Linked DNA regions of Caenorhabditis elegans. The protein of the gene in region 2 interacts with the protein of the main gene of each other region in a pairwise test. Each region holds a gene or a part of one and is shown on either strand. Other genes may lie near its edges.

Evidence for each region.
Region 1: the proteins of eps-8 (region 2) and zfp-3 interact in a two-hybrid assay, tested with the Caenorhabditis elegans proteins (3 studies listed by BioGRID).
Region 3: the proteins of eps-8 (region 2) and vab-19 interact in a two-hybrid assay, tested with the Caenorhabditis elegans proteins (one study listed by BioGRID).
Region 4: the proteins of eps-8 (region 2) and abl-1 interact in a two-hybrid assay, tested with the Caenorhabditis elegans proteins (2 studies listed by BioGRID).

Annotation. Positions count from the first base shown.
Region 1 is NC_003284.9:1,440,620-1,448,473, reverse strand, and holds the start of zfp-3 (C3H1-type domain-containing protein), read left to right. Parts: upstream 1-1,830; 5' UTR 1,831-1,897; coding exon 1,898-1,985; coding exon of another isoform or gene 1,986-2,014; intron 2,015-3,457; coding exon 3,458-3,550; intron 3,551-3,597; coding exon of another isoform or gene 3,598-4,067; exon of another isoform or gene 4,068-5,078; coding exon of another isoform or gene 5,079-5,085; exon of another isoform or gene 5,086-5,157; coding exon 5,158-5,321; intron 5,322-5,838; coding exon 5,839-5,980; intron 5,981-6,031; coding exon 6,032-6,236; intron 6,237-6,297; coding exon 6,298-6,931; intron 6,932-7,114; coding exon 7,115-7,288; intron 7,289-7,342; coding exon 7,343-7,843; 3' UTR 7,844-7,854.
Region 2 is NC_003282.8:14,877,892-14,882,588, forward strand, and holds the start of eps-8 (SH3 domain-containing protein), read left to right. Parts: upstream 1-1,671; coding exon 1,672-1,724; intron 1,725-1,778; exon of another isoform or gene 1,779-1,799; intron 1,800-1,937; exon of another isoform or gene 1,938-1,958; intron 1,959-2,150; exon of another isoform or gene 2,151-2,172; intron 2,173-2,370; exon of another isoform or gene 2,371-2,391; intron 2,392-2,475; exon of another isoform or gene 2,476-2,496; intron 2,497-2,715; exon of another isoform or gene 2,716-2,736; intron 2,737-2,865; exon of another isoform or gene 2,866-2,886; intron 2,887-2,960; exon of another isoform or gene 2,961-2,984; intron 2,985-3,037; exon of another isoform or gene 3,038-3,058; intron 3,059-3,190; exon of another isoform or gene 3,191-3,213; intron 3,214-3,445; exon of another isoform or gene 3,446-3,466; intron 3,467-3,668; exon of another isoform or gene 3,669-3,692; intron 3,693-3,758; exon of another isoform or gene 3,759-3,779; intron 3,780-3,902; exon of another isoform or gene 3,903-3,923; intron 3,924-4,697.
Region 3 is NC_003280.10:2,441,597-2,446,298, forward strand, and holds the start of vab-19 (ANK_REP_REGION domain-containing protein), read left to right. Parts: upstream 1-1,682; 5' UTR 1,683-1,695; coding exon 1,696-1,960; intron 1,961-2,261; coding exon 2,262-2,410; intron 2,411-2,508; coding exon 2,509-2,620; intron 2,621-2,670; coding exon 2,671-2,772; intron 2,773-3,305; coding exon 3,306-3,515; intron 3,516-3,715; coding exon 3,716-3,861; intron 3,862-3,910; coding exon 3,911-4,045; intron 4,046-4,632; coding exon 4,633-4,702.
Region 4 is NC_003284.9:10,621,145-10,625,751, reverse strand, and holds the start of abl-1 (Tyrosine-protein kinase abl-1), read left to right. Parts: upstream 1-1,562; 5' UTR 1,563-1,605; coding exon 1,606-1,607; intron 1,608-1,717; coding exon 1,718-1,773; intron 1,774-3,044; exon of another isoform or gene 3,045-3,169; intron 3,170-4,607. UniProt on the Caenorhabditis elegans protein: Functions downstream of migratory protein mig-13 and is involved in Q neuroblast migration during larval development.

The DNA.
Region 1 (7,854 bases), on a different chromosome or scaffold from region 2:
TTTTTTTTACAAGTAGCAAACTTTTGTAGGATATCAAAATTTCACGCTAAAGTTTTAATTTTAATGCTGAACACTAGAACGTTCAGTTTAGAATTGCTCATTTACAACTGTTCACTGTCATTTTTTTAAGATTACATACAAAACTGCTACTAAAGAAGAAAAGTTTCTCTAAATAAATAATTTTATATCAAAAATTGGTTATTAAATCACTTAATTTCCAGAAAATTATTCTAGGATATTGCCAAAGAAATGATTTTTTGTGAAAAATGTTCGAAAATTCCAGGATTTTGATTCCAATTTAAGTGTTTTCAGGCGTTTCTAGAAGTTTTTCATCTTCTTTTATCCGGCAAGCAAATTGCAAAAATTTCTGTTAAACGCGGTTCAAATTTGTGGAAGCTAGCATCATGGTGCATCGACATTTTTTTAATTTCTCTTAAAGTATCATTCGAGTCCTGTATTGTCTGCCTTCATGCACTAATTGTCAATTGAGTCCCTTCAAAATAATTTTCCCTGACATCTGGTAGTTCCCTGCAACTTCCACGTTATCTTGACAATTTTCTTTTATCCGAGAGGTTCCTTCTGTAAAACGATTCTGACAAACTAGTCCACGTATTTAAGAGCAAACATCATGGTTCATCAAAGTTTGTGAATTTCAAAATAGTAAACCTAATTCATAGAATCTCTAAAATGGACTTTTTTGTGAGAAATGCTCAAAATCGAAGACTTTTGTCTGGATTCGATTATTTTCAAACGGCATTTTTAAATGATTTATTCAAAACGACAGTATTCTTCCAGTTGACTAGGATAGTGAAAAAATTTCTGTTTCACCAAAAAATTCATGTAAACTCGGTTCAAGTTTCTGTAAGCTAACATCATAGTGCATCGATTTCTGTGATTTTCAACAAATTGGCACGTTTGACAATTTTCCTCACAATTCCATTTAACTCCTGCTTTATGTCTTTACGGGTAGCCTGTCTGTCGAATACTTTCCCTTATATGTAGCTAGAAATAATTTTCAAAAACCAATTATTTTTCCTGAACTCCACTGATTTTCTGTAGTCTTATCGATTTTTTGACAATCTGCTCCCAGCCAAAAAGGAATCTGTAAAAATTTATGTTTCATTTGAAAATTCCTGAAGCAATTGCAAAAATCATGGTGCATCGACAAACTTTTATCAACTTTTTTAGTTTTTAGTATTGCATGAAAAGTCGTTAGAATCTGTTCTGGTGAAACTGTTCTGGAATGGTCTTTCGATTGAAAACTTTTCTCAAAATATAAGTTTTTGGTTGGCTGAGCTTCAAATTCAAAAAAAAAATTGCTTTGAAATTTTAAAAACTCACAAAATTCATGAACTTCCATCAATATCCAATATGCATTTAACCATTATTCTCCAAAAAACACGCTCCGCAACTTGTCGTCAGTGTGTATGCAGACATCGGTGAGGGACCCAAGTGGTCGCATTCGACAGCCCACATGATACACGCTCTCGTCGTCTCGTGCCTCTTTTCCCTCGCCACCTGCACTCTCTCGTCGACTGCGGGCGATCTCTAACCACTCTCTGGCTGCCTGCTCGGGATATTTCCTCACTATTTGACTGCCGGGGGTCTCTTGTGTCTACGATCGATAGGGAAACGCACGCTCACACAAACACTCTCCCGCACACATTGCGCGTTTCGAAAATGTATTAGGCTGATTTTGGCGAGTTTTTTCTCCTGGTTTTCTTCTAGTTTCCCTCAACTTTTTAAAATTAAAATTTTCTTTGATTTTTCCTCTTTTTTTTTTAAATTCACTAATATTCTCTTCAAATTAAACTCTTACAAAATTTCCAGAAAATCTACACAAAGCAGAAGCAGCAGAAGCCGCCAGCAGCTCAACTCCGCACCAACACCGTCTCCAATGGCCGACGTCTACACCCCGACCAAGACAATGGACGGCGCCTTCCTGCCAGCAGTGGGATCCCCGAACACCTCCATCGACTCTCCGGGTAAGTCATCGGAATTCTACTATTTTTGAATTTGAATTCTAATTTGCAAGTTCCTTATTTTCTTCTCCACTTCATCCTATTTCTTCGATCTCGAATCTTGATATCAAGCACTTTCATTTTTCTTTGTGACACAGTTCCGGGTTGGCGAAAAAGAAAAAACCGTTTTCAGAGAGACAATTGAAATAAAGAGTTCTGTTTTAACCGCACAATATGAAGGAAAATAATGTGAGGAACAGAAATGCCCCAGATGTGGTCGGATACCCAGAAAGGGATGACCGGGCTTTGGACACGAATTTTCAGGTTCTGAAGTGCCCTCGGCATCTTGGAGCACCTCTGACGTGCTGAGAGCAGTAGAATCCAGAAGTCAAGATACTTGGACTTGGACTTCAACTTTGGCTATATGGGACCAGCAGGAAAACTTCAAGCTTCTACCTAGCAGGAACCAGCTATGTTTCTTGGATTATTAGGCTTTCACTTCAAGGCTCAGAAGCTTAAGTCATTTAGGATAGGCTCTCGCTCTTCTCTTTTTCCCTCTTTGGGCCTAATTTCAAGTTGAGAACAGTGACTACGTATTTTCTATAGAGAAGATAAGATGTGTCCTGGTTCCGCGAGAAAAAGGGATAGGGAAACAATTATTACAAAGTGATAACGGCCTGATTTCGAACAACTTGCTGACTATGCTGAAGCTGTGGCCTATTTTTTTTTCTATCCTCTAGTAGAATGCTGGAAAAATTGAATCCGACTATTTTAGTACAGCTGGAATTTTTCGTTTTAAACTTTGGGGGTCTATGGTGCTTTTTGAAACTAGATTGAAACTTGCGACTACTTTTAATATTTCAGAAATGTCCTGAACAGATCTGAGGTCTTTTGGAGAATTTTGGAAGTTTTGTGATGATCGGGCAAGATTACGGCAAATTCATTCAAAGTTCACAAAGACATAAGAATGCATGGAAAATATCTGGCAAGTTGTGCCAAGTTCTGAAGGGTTGTACAGTTTTCGAAAACATTTCTAGAAGTTTGGAAAAGTCTAGAAAAATTATGGGATTTGAAGAAAATGTGGAAGGCTTTTGAATACTTTCTGTTAACTTTCTGCAGATTTCTGGCATTTTTAGGGAAGTTCTATATCTTCAGTAAGAGCTGCAGACTTTTGCTCACTCACTGGAGCTTTTTTGGCAAGTACGGGTAAGTTCTGGAAGTTGACCGAGTTTTTGAGTAGACCGGAATCAATCTGGCAAATTTTGTTCCATGTATCTGATAGCTTTTGAATTTTTTGAACAATTGTTATACTTCTGGACATATTTCTTACGTTCCGACATTTTTCTCGGTGGATATTTTTTCAAGAAACTGCTAGATTCCAGATATTCTAGATAAAAAATACTCTAAAAATACAAGAAAATTTGAATCTTCCTTGAATATATTCTAATAATTTCCAATAGGCAGTTCAAATTCAATTTTAAATTTCAAATTTTCAGCAGTCTACGTACCGACACCACTCACCGCGCCATCCACATCGAAGACGACTCCAGTGAAGCCCGAGGATCAGACAACGCGGCAGAAATATGGAGGTAGGTGGAAAACTCTTTAGAATTTGTATCCTAACATCACATTTCAGGTACATGGAAGCTCCGACACTTGGGAATGAGATGGAGATGTGCTCTTCCCACCCGCCGATTCCCACTTTCCCAGCCCCTATTTCTATGTAGCGTAGATACGACTATTCACATTTTAATGAATTATAGAACTCTCCAGAACTTTAGCAAAATTTTGAAAGGTCTTGGAAAAATGGGAAAATGTAATTTTAAAAGCGGACAAAAACCGAGATTTATTATTAAAAAAAGACTATGGATACCCGGGAACTATGGTCACTCTTATGGAAGCCTCTTCTCAATTGTGAATCCCCATCACTTTTCAGACTCCCCAATAAGTTGTTCTCCATGTTTTTTCTATGTTTCTGATTTCTTCTTTTTTTCTATTTTTTTGTGCGTCCGGAGTTTTTTTGCAGATGCTCTCAGCTTCATATGGAATATTCTACAGTGGTTTCGTTTGCAGAGCCGAGCAAAATGGCGGAGAAGATATATATGAAAGATATATGAAATTCCAGAAAAATCATCAGAAGTGCACGGGCTGAAATTTTGGAAAAATTGCCGCCCGTGGACGTTTTTGAATGCGGAAATCGATAAATTGAACATTTTTGATTGGGAATTTGAAAGAAAAGTTTGAGTAGATCATTTTTGAAGGATGTCTAGAATTTTGAAAATGTCTAGAATGCTCAGCGATTGAGAAAATGTAAAAAATTAATATTTATGGTCTGAATTTTTGTAATAGTCGGATAGGTTAGGCGTTATGAATTCTGAAGAACACTTACTTATTTTTCGCAAAGAAATGTGACTTTTCCAAATTTGTAGTGGCTTAAAACGTTGTAATCTTGAAATTTTGATCTCCCAAAAATCTGATTTCTGTACTTACTACTAGTAGAAATGTTTTAGAGAAAATTGCTTGCAAATTGAAATGTTTCGAGGTTTCCGATGAAGAGCCGTTTCAGTTGTCAATTTTTGTATTAAATTTTACGACGATTCTTTTGTTTTTACTCAAAACATTTTTTAAAAATCGATAAATTGCAAAACTCGGTGAGATAATTTTCCTATTGGTATCCCCTTGTAGGCCAAAACTTAAATTCACAATAATGAACAAGTACGCTCTATTTTTGGAATAAACCGTGGAATATGCCTTGTGAGTTATTGCGCACAAATTGGAATTTTTTGGAAAAAAAACGATGCTACTTTAAAAAATTGATAAGGAAATCAATAAAAAGATTGCCGCGAAAAAGTTTGGACTATAAAAATTTTTGGATAAAAATTCAAAACACGGAATAAAAGACGCTCATAAACTCGAAAAAATGACAATTTTATACCTCGACGGATGTTTCAACACGTGGAATTTCTAGGTGACGTAATCTAGCGCTATTGATTTTTTTCTTGCAATTTGAATGGGAACCCCTTAAAACGCCTCAAAACTTTTACAAAATTGTTCCCATTTCCCCGTCTCCCCTGCCCCGTACCCATACCGTTTCAGAAAGAGCACATTTCAGTCTTGATGCCAAGTTTGTTTGAATACTTTAATTTTTTTTTTCAAAATTCCAGAAAATCTCAATAATACCAATCAATATTTTCAGGCTCAGTCTCCTACTCGCCATCCAACCCAGGAATCCGGATTGTGAAGCGAAAACCGAAGCCGGAAGCAGTTGCCGCAGCAGCAGCGGTGCCGACGGCGATTTATTCAGGAAAACGACACGCCACAGATGATGGAGAGGATGCGGGACTTGCCGCACTGAAATTGGTAGGTTAAAAAAGGAATTTGACAACTAAAATTGCTTTGTGGCGGTAGAGCGCATCTGCATTTTTTCAATGAGACTGTGCTAGACTGTTGGAAACGCCGACTGCTAGGAAAATTGAAATTTTATCTTTTAAAATTGAGCAGAGTTGTGTGCCTTGGTACTGGACAGTTCGGGCAAAAATTCTACAAATGAATTTCGAGCTCAAAATTTATGGTTTATTGGAGCAAGCGTGCTCTGATCCCGCTCTTTGAGAAATCGTTCAACGGGAATTTGACAACCAAACTTGCTCAGTTTCGGTAGAGCGCATTTGCTTCAATGAGGCGGTGTTAGAATTTTGGAAAATTTACCTTTTAAAATTGAGTGTAATTGCGCGCCAATTCGTCCATGGTACTGGACAGTTCGGAAAAAAAATTCTACAAATGAATTTCGAGCCCAAAATTATGGCTTTTTAGAACAAGCAAGCTCTGATCCAGCTACTTTCTTGAAAACAAGCAAAAACTATTACTAATCGCCCTCAAGTATTTTCAGAAGCCAAACCGTGGAATTCTCCGTGGTCCAGCTATCTCCAACCTCAATCAGCGTGGCACCCGTCGCCTCATCTTCGCCGACACGCGAGGTCTTCCACTGGTGCATGTTAAGGAAATTGAACGTATTGCAGCAAGTACGCCGCCACTAGAGCCTACCACTAAAACTAATGCGCCTCTTCTTTCAGTCCACTCGAATGTTGCCGACTATCGGTGTTCGGAGCGAAATGAGGCCGCCGCGTTTGGCCAGGAGATGGAAGTTTTTGAGGATGTCGAGTGGTCGCTGGTGCCGGTGAAGCGGTCCAAACCGGCGCGCAGTGAAATGTCAGAGTCGGGCCTACGGGAAGAAAGACGTATCGAAGAGGAAGGAATTATGAGAGGGGCCATGTTTGGGTAAGTTTTTAGGCATATATTGACCTGTAATAAAAATTTTTTAAATTTTTTGCGTTTCCAGAATGTGCCAACTCGAGGACAACCCAGCGCTTAACGAGCAGGCAGCTGTCGACCGTGCCAACTACACGCCGACCATCATCCCAACCGTCAGTGTTCCATCGGAGCCCACCACTCTCGCCACTATCCGCGATTTGCCACTTCCGGGCCGTCCGCCACGTGTTCGTCCACAAGATTTGCTGCTTCAGGTCAAGCCGAACCAGGGATTCCACACGTTGCCACTCTACCATAGCCAACGCCCGGAGAACCCTCGACGTCCGATGTACGCACAGCAGCAGCAGCAGCAATCAGCCCACCAGACGCCGACTCCACACATCCAGCAAGTGTTCCAGGAAACGGAACCGGTCACCAACTACTACACGGCCACCACCTCTGTCCCGGAGACCCCGGAGCCAGCTCCAGCAGCCCAGCCTGCCAGCAGATTCGAGCTTCCATCGAACCTCAAGGAGATGCTCAACCAGCTCAAGAAGAAGGGGTTCGTCTCGTCGGATGAGACTCCTTCGCCGACGACTTCAGCTCCACCGCCGGTTGATCCACTGGCGGCTGCAATGCAGACTGCTCAGCAGATGATGCTCCAGCAGGGGAACACGTATGCAAGTGAAGAAGTGCCGCAAGATTATCCAATGGATGGATATGTCGTGAGTTTTTTTCGCTTTTAAAAACGGGCTGGAATTGCTTGAAATGGTCCGACCCGCTTTAAAAATGTGTGGGCCCATGGAAGCTTACTTCAAAAACGGGACAGGCCCGGTATCGGCCCACTTTTACACGACGCTGGTCCAAGTCCTCCTTATTTATACATTAGCAACAGTCTAAAATTTCAGGCAACATTTGCAACTCCAGAGATGATGGCTCAGGAGCGTCGCCAGGACTCTCGCAACTCGGAAGGATGGACTCAATCCGGCTGGAAGATTCCAGAGCCATGTGTCTACTTTATCAGCCGCCCGGGTGGATGTAATCGGGGAGATCAGTGCAGATTTATTCATGACGAGGAGATGGTAAGTGGCAGTTTGAAGCTATTTTTTTTCCATTCTTACTTATTTCTTTTTCAGAGACGTCAAAAGATGGCAGAGCTCCCACCACGCGGTCCAAATCATCACCACGACAACTTCCGAGGTGGCCGAGGCCGCGGATTCCGTGGAGGCTACAACAATCGCAACAACTACAACAACCACCACGACCGCGACTTTAGAGACAATGCAGGCGGAAACCGTGGCCGATTTGGCGACACTGAAGGATTCCGTGGAGCACGATATGCTCGTGGAGGCTTTGCTCCTCGGAACAACTCGAGATTCGACCAGAAGCCAGCGTACAATGATGATGGCGGTCATCTAGGATCCCCAAATGCACATGGATCCCAGTATCAGGATCCCGTTCCGACTAAGAGAGCCCGTGTCAGTAGGTTTGATAGACAGGGAGAAGATGATGCTCCAGGCCAGGATATGGATCAACGGCCACCGAGGAGAAATCGATTTGACGAGCAGCCACCTCGCCGGACGTTCCGCTCTCGCTTTGATCAGCAAGCGGATCACGATGAGATGAGCCAAGCTTAGTGGCGGAAGAA
Region 2 (4,697 bases):
TCAATCGACAGTTTTTTTGCTGTTTCGGTTTCTACTGGATACACGCCTTTGGGGCGTGGAAATAGAAGAAGATGGATGGATTTTGGAGGAAAAGTTGAAGGAAAACTAGAGAATGCTGGGGCCCGGATACTTATTATTTCTTTGATTCGATTTTCTTTACTTTTTCCCCAGTTACAACAGATTTTGGAAAATTTCACGAAATTCAATTTTCTTTTGTTTCTTTGGATGTTTTTAAAAAGGGATTTTGTAGTTTGAAAACTTGAAAGCTTACAGAAAATTTTATGAAAATTTGCATTAAATTTTCTGCAGTTTCACACTCTTTATTTCAGCGTTATAGGGGTTTTTGCAACATTGCTTCAATTTCAATTTTTCCTATTGCTAAATATAGAAAAAAAAGCGGTGGCGAATTCTTTATGAAATTGTCTAAAATCCATCTTGTATACGTTTCAAAAAAAATTATGCTGTTTCAAAAATGTAACTTGTTAGCACAGAATATACGGTTTTCGTTCAGATTCGTTTTCAATCTCAATTTTCAAAATCTTCAGTTGAAGAAGTTATCTTTTTCTGTTTTTTCTTCGTAAATCTGAAAAATAATCACTGCTTCAAGTTATTTACGATTTTTAATTGATTTTGAAATCTAACTCAATTACTTTAATTAATTCTGTCATGTTAATACATCTACAAAAATAAATCTTACTCCTATATTTTTCATTCAATTTCAGATCTGATTGACTTGATTTTCAAGAGTATAGCTATTGCTAGAATTTTTAGTTGTTTTTAAATTTATCATTGATTTTCCGAGTATTGTTTTATTCACTAAAATTTCCAGATTCACAAAAGTTTTTAGTGAAAAATAAATCAGTGAATTGAAAATGTTTTAATTTAAAATTCAGATTTTTCTCTCAATTTCTCACTCTAGCCGCTTTAATGTTCTCTTCTCTCAATCTTTTTGTTAATTTTTTGAAACAAATTATCACTGTTTCAAGTTTTTTTAAAAATAATTAATCAATTTTCAATTTTAATTTTCACATAAATTGCTTTCGCTTTCATGATGTTATTTTCAAAACAATATTTTTCACTATTTTCATTTGTTATATAAAACATGGTAAAACTTCCCATTATACTCTCTTTTTGCTTTCTTAACTCTAGTTTCCAAATTAAAATTAAAAAATTGTTTCTAAACTTCAATTATATTTTCCTAAAACTTTCCACGAAAATTAAAATTCATTAGAATTTCTTACAGTTACGAAAAAGGAGCCAAACTTTGAGATTTGAATTCAAGTTTTCCACTTTATAATTAAAAATGAAAATTTCTTCCTTATTGTAACATATCATTTCGTTAATTTTTTAAACCAAAACTTTAAAATTTTCCTGTTTCACGTTGTTTATAAGAAACATTGATTTTTTAAAAACATTGCTCGGTGGATTTTCTGAGTCTTTTTCAAAAAATAAAACAAAACTTTTCTCATGTTTTTATTGGTTTTCAAAATGTCATATATTTTTTACTTTTCCAATTCCAACTACAATTTTTCGAAAACCCAATGCTTCAATTTTTCTTCCATAACTTTAAAGTTAAATTAAATTTGATTTTATTTCAGCCAGTCAAATGCCATTTGCTTAAAAAGCGAGGAAATTTATCATCAGTGAAGAAGTGTAAAACATCTATTAAAAATGATGCGTCGAGGTGGATCGATGGGTCCACCGAGCGGGGATCCATATCAGAGGTTAGTATATTGTTTTATGAAAATAATTTAAACACAAATACAAGGCAAATTTGATTACATATTGAGATAGTCAAATTTTACAATTGAAATAAAGTTTTTAAAGCTTTAAACTTGTTTTGTATTGAAAATCCAAGTATTTGATAATTACTCCCAAAATTGTGTCAATTTTCTAAAAATTGCTGACAATCTAAAAGGTGTGAGACGAATTAACTCAACAAACTAAGGAAAGCAGAACTAGAAAATATTTGAACTTTTTTTTGAAATAGAAGTTATGAAACGGTAATTTTTGCGAAATTTTTTAACCTAAAATTTAACTTCAACGTATTTGAAAATCCATTACTGCAAATAAATTTTGAGACTGAAATATTTCTCAAAAATTGACTATTTCGCAATAGATGTTAAATGAAATTTAATAAGTCACCAGAATTTCAAACAGGATGAAAATGAAAAAAAAACAGCTTCAAACATTTTTGTTGAAGTAATTTTTTTAAATCTAAATTGCTTCCAGCGACTTTTTAGAGCTGTTTTCTGTATGTTGATGGCTCGTAATACCCTAAAATTCATTTTTTTTCAAATAGAAAAAAAAATCGAAAATATCGCTGTTTCAAAGAAATGTTATATTTTCAAAGTTTTATCAATGAATTGTTCTGCTGACCTTTTTATTATGAGAAGATCAAATTAAATCATTTATCAAATTGAAGTCGATCCCCTATGAAAGTTCGACTAAACTGACTTCAAACCGCTTTTTAAACCGAAAATTGCAACATTCTTACTGAGTCAATAAAAATTAGAAAAATTAAATGAAGATGCTGAAACTGTAGAGTGTTTCAATTTTCGGTTTAAAAAGTGGGTTGAAGTCAGTTTAGTCGAACTTTCATAGGGGGTGGAATCCTTTAATCAGAAAATTTTAAACTGGATGAAAGAAGAAGTAAAAACAAACAAATAACTGCTTCAGATTCATGTTATTTAATTTCTGAATTTACTTTTCCGTTAAAGAATTTACTTTAAACTTTTTTTTTAGCAAATTAAAAATAATCTTTAAAAATCTAAATCTTGAAAAAGGAAAAAAAAAATGTGAATATCAAAATTTTGACCGTTTCACATTGTTTTTTTTTAATATTGACATTTTCTGGTAGCATAATATCAACAGAAGAATATTACTTGTTAATAAAAAAATATTAAGAAAATTAACTATTTCGCTTTCCTTATAAATATTCGTTATCAGATTTTATAAATTAGTAAGCTCTCGGAATTTTCTTAAATTTTCAGTTTTAAAGTCAAAACGACTTCCTTAATGTTCTAGAATAACTCAATCAATTAATTAACCAATTAATCCGTTGAAATGTCCCAGTTCGACAGGATTTATTGAATTTTCGAAATGAAGTTGATTAATTAGTTTTCAAGATGAATATCTTATTTCTCTGTTTCACCACCACACCTCTTTGGGTGTGGTTTTGGAAACTTATTTGGAATGTGAACGATTTTCCTAATGCCAATGAACTTTTTGCATTTTTTAAATTAGTTTTTTGAAACAGTGATTTTTTGTGAAGTCGTTTAATTGTAAGTTTTCAATATTAAACACCTTAAAAGTTAATTTATTGCGAAACCCCCTATAATAATGATTAGAATATTTCAAAAGTTGATTTTGAATTACTCTGATAATGCGTTTGAAATAATTTTTTCTGTTGAAACTAATTTGTTTTTTATGGTTTCCCTGTCTTCTGCATTTTTTTGAAAGCACATCATTGATAAAATGTTTCTAAAGTTTTATATTAAACATTTGGAACCGTGAAAAATTTTAAAACAACTCCAATATAGCTAACTTTTTTACATGTGCTTGTTTTTTGGAACAGTTTATTTTTTGTGCAAATTTTTAAGTATAATATTTTCAACATTTTACCATGTTTCAATGTAGTATTAAATTTTACCTCCACCATAAAAAATTATTGATTTCAATCTTATTGGTACATAACTCAAATGTTGAAAAAAAAATTTGTTGCACAATTGGAACTGTTTCAGAATTTCCCTACTTTCAAGAACAATTTTTTTTGGATATCGCAGTGTCCAAGTTTTCGAAAATTTTAGTCAGAAACCTGAAACTGTATCAATTTAAGCAATTAAAGTAAATTTAAAAACAATTATTGTATTCTTAAAAACCTGAAAATTGAATTGTTTAAAAGTGTAATTCACTGGAATTCATCAATATTCAAACTTTTCACATATTATGTAGCAAAGTGAAAACAGTAGAATTTTTAAAAAATTTAGAAAAGTCCTATACATTTTCAAGTTGCGATCAAAAATGGAACAAAAAGAAGCTGTTAAGTTTTGCTTATTCAGTCAAACTGTTACTATAAAATATAAAATTCAAAAGTTCAAGAAAATCATTTAGATATGTAACCAAATAATATTCGACTAATTTCTAATGAAAATACCTACCTAAAATCTAAAATCGTAATCACGGTTTCACAGAATATTATTTGGTTACATATCTAAATGATTTTCTTGAACTTTTGAATTTTATGTTTTATAGTAACAGTTTGACTGAATAAGCAAAACTTAACAGCTTCTTTTTGTTCCATTTTTGATCGCAACTTGAAAATGTATAGGACTTTTCTAAATTTTTTAAAAATCTTTGTGAAAAATGCGACTCTCTCTTAAAAAATTCTCTGTTTTTGTATCAGGGGTGTGCGGCAAATTTGCCGATTTGCCGAAAATTGCCGACTTGCCGAGCTCGGCAAATTTGCCGATTTGCCAAATTCGGCAAATTTAAAAAAACCAGCAATTGCCGATTTGTCGAGCACGGCAAATTTCAAAAAAGTAGATTTGCCGAATTTGCCGAGCTCGGCAAATTTCGAAATTTGCCGCACACGTCAAAAATTTTACAGTACAATTTTGACTAAAATTATTGATTTTTTCGCCAAAAATTTAGTAAAATGACACAAAATTGAGTTAGTTTTATGCTTAAGCAGACAT
Region 3 (4,702 bases), on a different chromosome or scaffold from region 2:
GAAAACTGTCCGAATGGCGCAGTGGGATTTCGGATTTTGGCTCGACTCACAAGGCCGGGGTTCGACCCCCCGCTAGGGTCAAATATTTTTATTTTTTTCTAATTGGTCTTTTTAAGTCTTTTAAACCATCAGACTTACGAAAAAAAATCGATTTTCCTCGTATTTTTCTGCAGTTTTTAGTTTTCCTCAATTCATCCTTACTCCACTACTTTGATCCGCATTCTCCGCTTTCTTGTGTAGAATTTCCGGTTCAATCTCTTCCATGGAATGATGAATGACCCAATATCACAGATATAATCACTAAATTAACCTCCCATCACTTTATCACCACCCATCTTGTGATAAGGGTAGAGAAATTCTTTGTGTTGCGTATTTTTACCCGAAAATTGGCAATATTTTTACAGAATTTCTGCAGTTTTGCTGGGTTTCATTAATTCTGTTTACATTTTCATTCACAAAACGACAAAACAAAAATATTAGACCCTTGTGGGAATCGAACCCCGGTCTTGCGCGTGGAGCCGAAGTCCAAAATCCCACTGCGCCACTCGGACACTTTTTAGAAAAATGCTCAAAATCACTGATTTTTTTTGTTGTTAAATTTTGGGTTTTAGACGATTTTAGTCCAGTTTTTAGTTTTGTATCAAATTTTAACAGAAGAAAACCGAAATTTCTCGGATTTTTCCGCCGAAATGTAAATTTCCATTTTTCTTTTCCACCCTAAAATATACAAATGTAATAATAATTTTTGCATAATGAGTGAGACAAACCACACCCTTATCATCAGAATAGTCGTCCTTCACTACGTGTCTGCGTCTCTCTCCCTCTCGTCTCATGTCTCTTTTTCTCATTTTGGCGCCGCGCCTTCTATCAATCAAGTTGAATTGACGACGAGATGATTTCATTGTAAGGAGGGGGTAAAGAAAGAACGTATCTTTTTCTCTCCAAGGAATATTTTTTTTTCACATTTTTAGGCGCCAAGTTTTACCCGAAAATTGTAGTTTTCCCGCTTAATTTGAATATTTTCCGGTTTATCGGCGAGATTTTTTAATTGAAAATGTGAAAATCGTACTTAGAACGTTGAGAAATTCAAATTTGCCTTTTGAAATTTTGAAATTCGGTTATTTTTGAGCATTTTCCAAAAAAATGTCCGAGTGGCGCAGTGGGATTTTGGTTTTTGACTCCACGCACAATACCTGGGTTCGATTCCCGGTGGAGGACAATTTTTTTTGTTTTGTTGATGTGTAATGTAGAAACCATTTTTGAATTGGAAAATCACTTTCGGGCAACTTTTCCTGAGTTTTTTTAAAACTTTTTAAAAATTATTTTTGAAAAAAATGTTTTATAGTCCACTTTTTTCCCTAACTTACAGTTTTAGAGAGTTTTAAACTATGAAAATTGCAATTTAACTTTGAATCTTCAAAAAAATTGGATTTTGGAGCATTTTTCTGAAAAGTGTCCCAATGGCGCAGTGGGATTATGGCTGCACCCACAAGACCGGGGTTCGATCCCCCGCTGGGTCAAAATTTTTTGTTAAGTTTTATTATTAAAAAAAACATACTCCCATCATCAAATTAATGTCTTTTCTTCAAATTTTCAAATTTTTCTCTTATTTTCTACTCCGATTTTTGCTACTTCTTCCATTCCCCCCCCCCCCCCCCCCAAAAAAATTTAAAATTTTTCAGGTAACCATCACAAATGCGTGATATTGGCGGAAGTATGTCTTCCGCCTCAACGTCTGCCACAATTGTCAAGCGGAGCCCGCCAAACGACACTTCCACGTCATCAGGGGTCTCGTGTGACGTGTCACCGAACTCAATGACGTCACCATCTTCTGGAAGCGACCAAAATCAGAATAATAACTCGTTGAACAAGTGCAAATGTTGTCCATATGGATATCATATCGATTTGGGATTCGTTTCCTACGCACAGAATGTTAGCAATGGATTTGTGTCGAGACAAGGTGAGGTTTTTTGCGAAAACTCTAAAAAGTGGTAGAAAACGTGAAATTTGTTATTCAAAACTATTTTAAACAAATTTAAAATAGTTTAAAACCTATATTTCTGTTTAAAAATTGGAAAAATCGGGTAATTTTGAGCTATTTTGAGAAAAGCGGCCAAATGGCGCAGTGGGATTTTGGATTTTGGCCCCACGCACATGACCAGGGTTCGATCCCGGCTAGGGTCGAATAATTTTTTCTAAGTCTTTTTAGTTTGAAAATCAGTCTGAAACATTGAAAAATTGCCCATTAAGTACTTTTCCAGGCACCCCGACAAATATGACACTACGTGGCAATGGAGCAGACCGACATTTGATGTCCCCACTGCTGGATAACAGTATTTTCAGCGACTCCTTGGATAATTTGATGAGCGATTTTGATGATGTTCTGGCACCACACAAGGAGGTGGAGAAGGTGAGCTTGAAAAAATTTAAAACCGCGACGCGACCGCAACGCGACAATAAAAAATTATCAGAATTTCAAAAAGTTAGTTGCAAATTCCAAATTTTCAGAAAAAAACGGTCCAAGACATCAGAAGCCGAATGCAAGGAGGCTACAACTCGGACTACACCACATATCGCAGAGGACCACCGGAAATTCCCAGAAGAGCACATTTTGAGCAAGGTTTGCACTTTTTCTGAGCTCCAAACTGAATTTTTTTTTACATTTTTCAGCTAAACCACCTCCGCTAAGCCGTCCGATCAATTTAGGGTTTAGTGGAAGCAGAAGTAACACGCCAACTCAGAGATTTAATGCTCCAAATGGCACTGGAAATGGTGAGGTTTTTGAAAAACAATTTTTAGATGGATATAACAATGCAAAAAAATTTGGCCAGAGCCCGGGGTCGAACTTGCCACTTTTTTCTGCGATTGGGCACCAGCCATCTGTGTTAACCACTGCGCCACTTCTACCCAGTTTAAAATTGCGATTATCTCGAAAACCGTGATAGCTAGCGAAAAATTTTCAACTGCAAAAATGATCAGCGTAAAATTTCCTTTCGAACAAATTGTTGAAATTTTCAAAACTTGAGAAAATGTTTGATCTGGCAAAAGTTACATTTTCCGTAACAAAAAAGTTGTTTCCAGTATACTTAGGCTCTACAAAAATTATTCTCCACTACCCGGACTTGAACTTGGCACTTTTTGCACCGATTGATTCCCAGGCATCTGTGTTAGCCACTGCGCCACTTCCACCCAATATCATTTTTCAATTATCTCGAAAACCGTGATAGCTAGAGAAAAGCTTCCAACTGCAAAAATGCTCAGAATAAAATTTTCTATCTTATCACTTTAACTATAGAAAATTTCAGGCTACTCCACCGCGCTTGCCAAGACAATCTCCGAGATCCGGGCTCGCAACGCCGAGTCGCCATTCCCAGACAGTCGTGTCGGGACCCCAATTGACTTGGGACTTCATCAACAAAATAATGGACACGTGACGCCGTCAAGATTCGCTAATAATCGATATGATGACCTACCTCCGACGCCTACGCCTACCTTTAGAAGGGCTCCGTCTCAAGGTAAATTAAGAGGCTGAACATTGAAATTTATCTCTGGAATTAAAAAAAACAATTATCTTTGAAATGTATATTTTAAAAAATTTCAAAAAACTCAAATTTAAAAAAAATGCCCAAATGGCGCAGTGCGATTTTGGGTGTCATCTGAGCAAAGGGTCATGGGTTCGACCCCGGCAGTGGCTAAACATTTTTTATTGTTTTAGGTGACTTGCCACGTGGATTCTCCACCGCCCCCTCAACAGGTCCCGGGGACTTTGCAAGCCTCCGGCGTGGCAGAGAATTTGCTCTTCCACCCGAGCAAGAGCACCACTCGAGACGGTTTTTCTCAGCGTCGCCAAAGTTGCCGAGGGTAGGTTTTGCAGAAAAATTGAGGAAAAACTTATGTAAAAAGTTTACAGCGTGGACTTCAAGCCGGGCCATCAATCGATGTTGAAAGCCATTTCACATATGCACAAACTCAAAACGGGCAGAAAGTGCTTGCAAGGACACAATCCACAAGCACTTCACCACCGCCACAAGCTCCTGCTTCAGCGGTAAGATTTTTTTTTTCAAAAAAAAATTCAAAATTCCTCACTTAATAATGGTTTGAAAAAAATTCTGTAACAATTTGGCATTGAAAAAAATGTAAAAAATGTTTGCCGTAGCCCGGCCTCGAACTTGGCACTTCTTGCACGTATTGAGTCCCAGCCATCCGTGTTAGCCACTGCGCCACTTCTACCCTAATTTAAAATGCGGTTATCTCGAAAACCGTGATAGCTGGAGAAAAGCTTCCAACTGCAAAAAGGATCAGCGTAAAATTTTCTATATATTAATTTTTTGAAAATTGTAGAATTTCCAACTATTTCAAAAATTTATTAACAATTGTTAAAATTGTGTGAAAATCTGTTCCCAGCTTGATTTCAGTATGCAAAAAAGTTTTGTTAAAGCCCGACCTTGAACTGAGCACTTTTTGCACCGATTGAGTCCCAGGCATCCATGTTAGCCACTGCGCCACTTTCACCCAGTTTTAAATTGCGATTATCTCAAAAACCGTGATAGCTAGGAAAAAAATTCCAACTGCAAAAATTATCAGCATTAATTTTTCTACAAAACTGTATTATAAAACTTTGAAAAATTCCAGTTCGAACCAGTAAAACCCCTGTCAAATGGAAGCCCAAGTCCAACACATCAGGTTCAAAAGCCAATTGTCA
Region 4 (4,607 bases), on a different chromosome or scaffold from region 2:
TAAATGTGAAAGAATTTTAGTAGACTTAATATGTAAATGTGTAATTTCCAACAATTAAACGAGGAGAAAAGACGAAAAATAAAAAAAATTATCGAAAATAGAACACTTTGTCACCATCAAAATCACTAACACTAGCAAAATAGCACAGTTTCATAGTCATATTACATATGCATGTTATAACAACAAACCTATTTTCATCTTTTGAAAACCCTACACACAATTCCACTTTTTTATGGAGAAATACAACCACATATAATCTTTTGATTTCAAAAAGTTATTTGTAATTGCCAAGCATTCATTACTTGGAGATCACGTTTTCCAAAACATCTTCGTCAGCAATTATTAAAACTTGGGAGTTTTTTTAAAGAATTATTGTATGCATTAGAGTGCGTTCTTATTGAGTGTTTCAAGTATGGAATTTGTTCTCAATTAACAAATTATTCTTAAACACACAATTTAAAATTAGTGCTTCATGTACAATTATATAGTCCGTGAAACAATGCAAATCTCCAAAAATTTTTAAACTTATTTAAAACTTGATAGGTACTTTTCAGCATATTTTAGTCTAAGGAGCCCTTTTATTGTTTTCAAAATAGTAGGACAGCAATTTTCTAATGAGTTAGAATTCACTCAACCAACCCTCAGAGGCATACCGTACTGTTTCTTCAAAATTTTGATTCTTTTAGTTTTGATTTCCATTTAAAAAATGCGTCAATCTGAATACTACCTATTGTTCAACTTTTCTATTTCAAACTGCATTCCCATACTCTTTCGTCGCTCCAATTTTTATGGGACAAAATTGGCGGGGGTTTTGAGTACCTCCTGGCCTCTCGTCCCATTCTTTGTGATCACACTTTTTGTTTCATTTCACACTTCATCCCCACACTTTCAACCGATACGAATTCGTATCGCAGATTTGTATAAAACATAGCGAAAAAGGAACGGCGACAAGTTTTGATTGGTTTTACAATGCAAAACTTTTTTGTTTATTAATATGTATGGTCTTGTCAATAATTGTTAGATTTTAGATTTGTAATTGACAATTTGTTAATTGGTTTAAAACTATGGTTTTTGCGAATACACAAATATCCGAATAGCATAACTTTTTTTTAATTATTAAATCACCACAATTTTGTAAAACAACTAAAAACTAATTATATCCAGTTTAAACATTATCCATTCATTTCGTATGCATATAAGTTCAATCAGTTCAAAGTATTTGTAGTCTCTACTCCGCGTTTCCAATCTCCTCTAGCTTAGTACTATTTATCTGACAGGAACTGTTGTTATTGTTTGACTAGCGAATAGGCGTTAGTGTTGAACCAAGTGCGCAGTAATAAGCAGTGAACAACGAGTGAGAAGTATGCAAGCGCGCTCTGCTGGTCACTGGATGGGTTATGAGAAAAGAGAGGGCAGCCGGGTACTCGACACATACCTTCACACCAATTGCGCGTCCTTTCTTTTTTCCTCCATGTTCTTTTTTTTTTGTCTTCTTCGATTTTTTCTTTTTATTTCTTTTTTTTAATTCAAGCCAAACTTCATAATTTTCAGGCTTTTCTAACTTTGAAAACATCAAAACATTCTCCCATGTAGGACTTAACAAAAATGTGAGTTCAGTTCATTTCATAATTCTTCTCAAAAACTATAAGGCCATGGTATTTTGTTTATTTTAATTTTACGAACAACATATACTAATAAAGAAGAAAATGTTTTTCAGGGGTCATTCACATAGTACTGGGAAAGAAATCAATGACAATGAACTCTTCACATGTGGTAAGCATTTTGCGCTTGAAAATTGTGAAAATTACTTTTCAACTAAAAACAAATATAATTTCAACATTTGAGTTTGGCATTGGATTTCAAAAAAAAAATTGAATGGTATAATTTCATACCATTTGGAAAAATTCAGCCTTGAAAAATATTAACTTGACGAAACTAATGAATATTTGTTGATTCAAAAGTTTTCCTAAAAAAATGATTATTGTTTGAAACTCATTAAAAAAGTACTGATAAAGTTTACGATTGTTTCTGAAGTATCAGCTTTTGTTTTTCTATTTTTCAAAAAAAGGAAGCTGCTCTCAGTTTTGAAAGAAAATAAGGCGAAATTGTAAAATAAATTATACGTAAAGTATTATAAAACTAATATTTTGTAATTTCTCAGTTTCTCAAAAAAAAAAAGTTCATGTTAAAACATGAAAAACAGTATGTTAAGTTTTATGTATTGTTTTTAACGTTCCTTCTACTTTTCGATGAATTGTCACAATCTCATTCGAAATTGTCTGCCCACAATAAGGCCCTTCGAGTGTAGATGACAGATTCAGAACCGCTCTTAATGCTTTATGCGGTTAGGTTCTCTAATCCTCCAAGTGTTCGGTTCCCTTCGTATTCCCGTTCGCTGTAGATATATGCCGGAGAGGGTGTGGGGAGGGTGAGAGATCCTCTTCTAAAGTCACAAGTAAACGAGACGCGGAAGAAAACGAGAGTAGAGATAGTAATAGCTGGTATGGTGGATTGAAAGAGAGCATGAGTGGAAGACGGGACGCAGACAAACCAAGAGGTCACATCTCCCTTCCCTCGTCCGTCAACTCCCGGTCCCTAGTTTGAGGACAACGCATGCGTGATCCAAATATGGGAGACTATCCAATCAAGTGTATCTTCTCTACTCATCTAGAATAATTAGATCATAATTTTTTACAAACTACAATATTTATAAAATTATACACTTTTAAAAGGTTTAGGCATAATTTATTTGGGAAAGGAAGTTTGGAAGAATAGAAAAAAATGGAATAAATCCAGTTCCTCTCCCCTTTCCCGCTTTGCCGCCTCCCGGCAAAACGTCGCTTCTCCAACTTGTTATTCCAATTCAATAGGTTTCAATGCCATATTCGCAGTTATAAATGCTCGACCCCTATTGACTATTCGCATTTTATTCACTTCACTCCAGTTTTAACTAGATTTACCATTTCCCCCCATCTTTTTTCTCCCTGGGTCAGAGAAGCAGCTGGACTTGTGTTAGTAGTACGACGAATCGCCCTTCTTCTCGTTGACCAATTAGAAAATGTGCTCTGGCACATTTTCCTTTCTGTGTGGGACTGAGAACCACGGGGGACACCCAACCTCCTGTTCTTCATTCTTTCTATCCAATTTTTATGATGGATTTGGTGCGACGCGTATACAATGAATATAAACGTTCGCAAGTCCACACCCATTTTTACAATTCCCTAGACATTGACACGGCATGTGACAATATTGAATAGTTTTGCTAATTTTGTGTTACTCTCGAAGAAACGGCATTGTCTCTGCTTTTTTTGTTATCTGAAAAAATAAAATCAGTTAGGTGTTTCAGTAGAATTTTCAAAAATAATTTACATCAGACAAACCGAGCTGAACAACCAAAATATATCCTAAATCAGATTTGACGAAGTTCAGATCATTGATCTTTTTCATAACGTGATTAAACACAAAACTATAAAAGTTTTATGAAATAGAAAAGAGAATACTAATTTTAAAATCTTCCGGTTCCGGATTTGTGTATGTGTTTGCTTATCAAATCACAGTTCTTACATGTATTTTTTAAGTGAAAAATCTATTAGGTCTCCAAATAAGTTCCGGGTCAAAAATCATAACTTTGTTCTCTGTGTATCGATTTTTATGAAACTTTGGGAATTCATGTTATCAACAATGATCTTTCATTTGACATCAGTCACAAAATTTTTTGTCCACCCCAAGTGTCCTAACTCGGAGCCAATTTTTTCAGGCATTTTTCCTATCTCGCTTCTAAAAGAAGACCTTTGAATTGAGGTTTGTGTGCGGATTTCGCCTTGCTTAAAATACATTATTAGAAAACGACAAAATTTTAGAAAAAAATCCGTCCAAAAAATTTTTTTTTGGTTGGTCGTCAAAAAATGTTCAAAAAAAATTTTGTCGAAAGTTCTAGATTTTCCCTACAAAAATGATGTAAACAAGCGTGAACTATTTTTACACATACAAAACATATCAATTTATTTCGATACACCAAAATGTTAATAGAAAATATAATTTTTTCGGATAATTTTTGAGTTTTTTGAATATTTCTCGAGATTCAAATTTCAAACTAAAACGATTATTATATATTTAAAAAAAATTTTTTGGACGGATTTTTTTCTAAACTTTTGTCGTTTTCTAATAATGTATTTTAAGCAAAGCAAAATCCGCACACAAACCTCAATTCAAAGGTTAAAAGAAGCGAGATAGGAAAAATTCCTGGAAAAATTGGCTCCGAGTTAGGACACTTGAGGTGTACAAAAATTTTTGCGACTATTGTCAAATGAAAGAACATGGTTGATAACATAAATTCCCAAAGTTTCATAAAAATCGATACACAGCGAACAAAGTTATGATTTTTGACCCGGAACTTATTTGGAGACCTAATATAAACCTCGTTTCGAAGTTTTGAAAATTGTATACCGTATTTCTTCTATTAATATGACTGCAATACTATTGTTCGATGGTCTTCCCGCTTGCAATACTAATAGGGAGTGCAAGACTATTAGGGAGTGCAATATTAATTTTCAGAAAATTTTTCTGACTTTGAGCTTTCTGATTTTTTTTCTGAAAAAACTCGAACC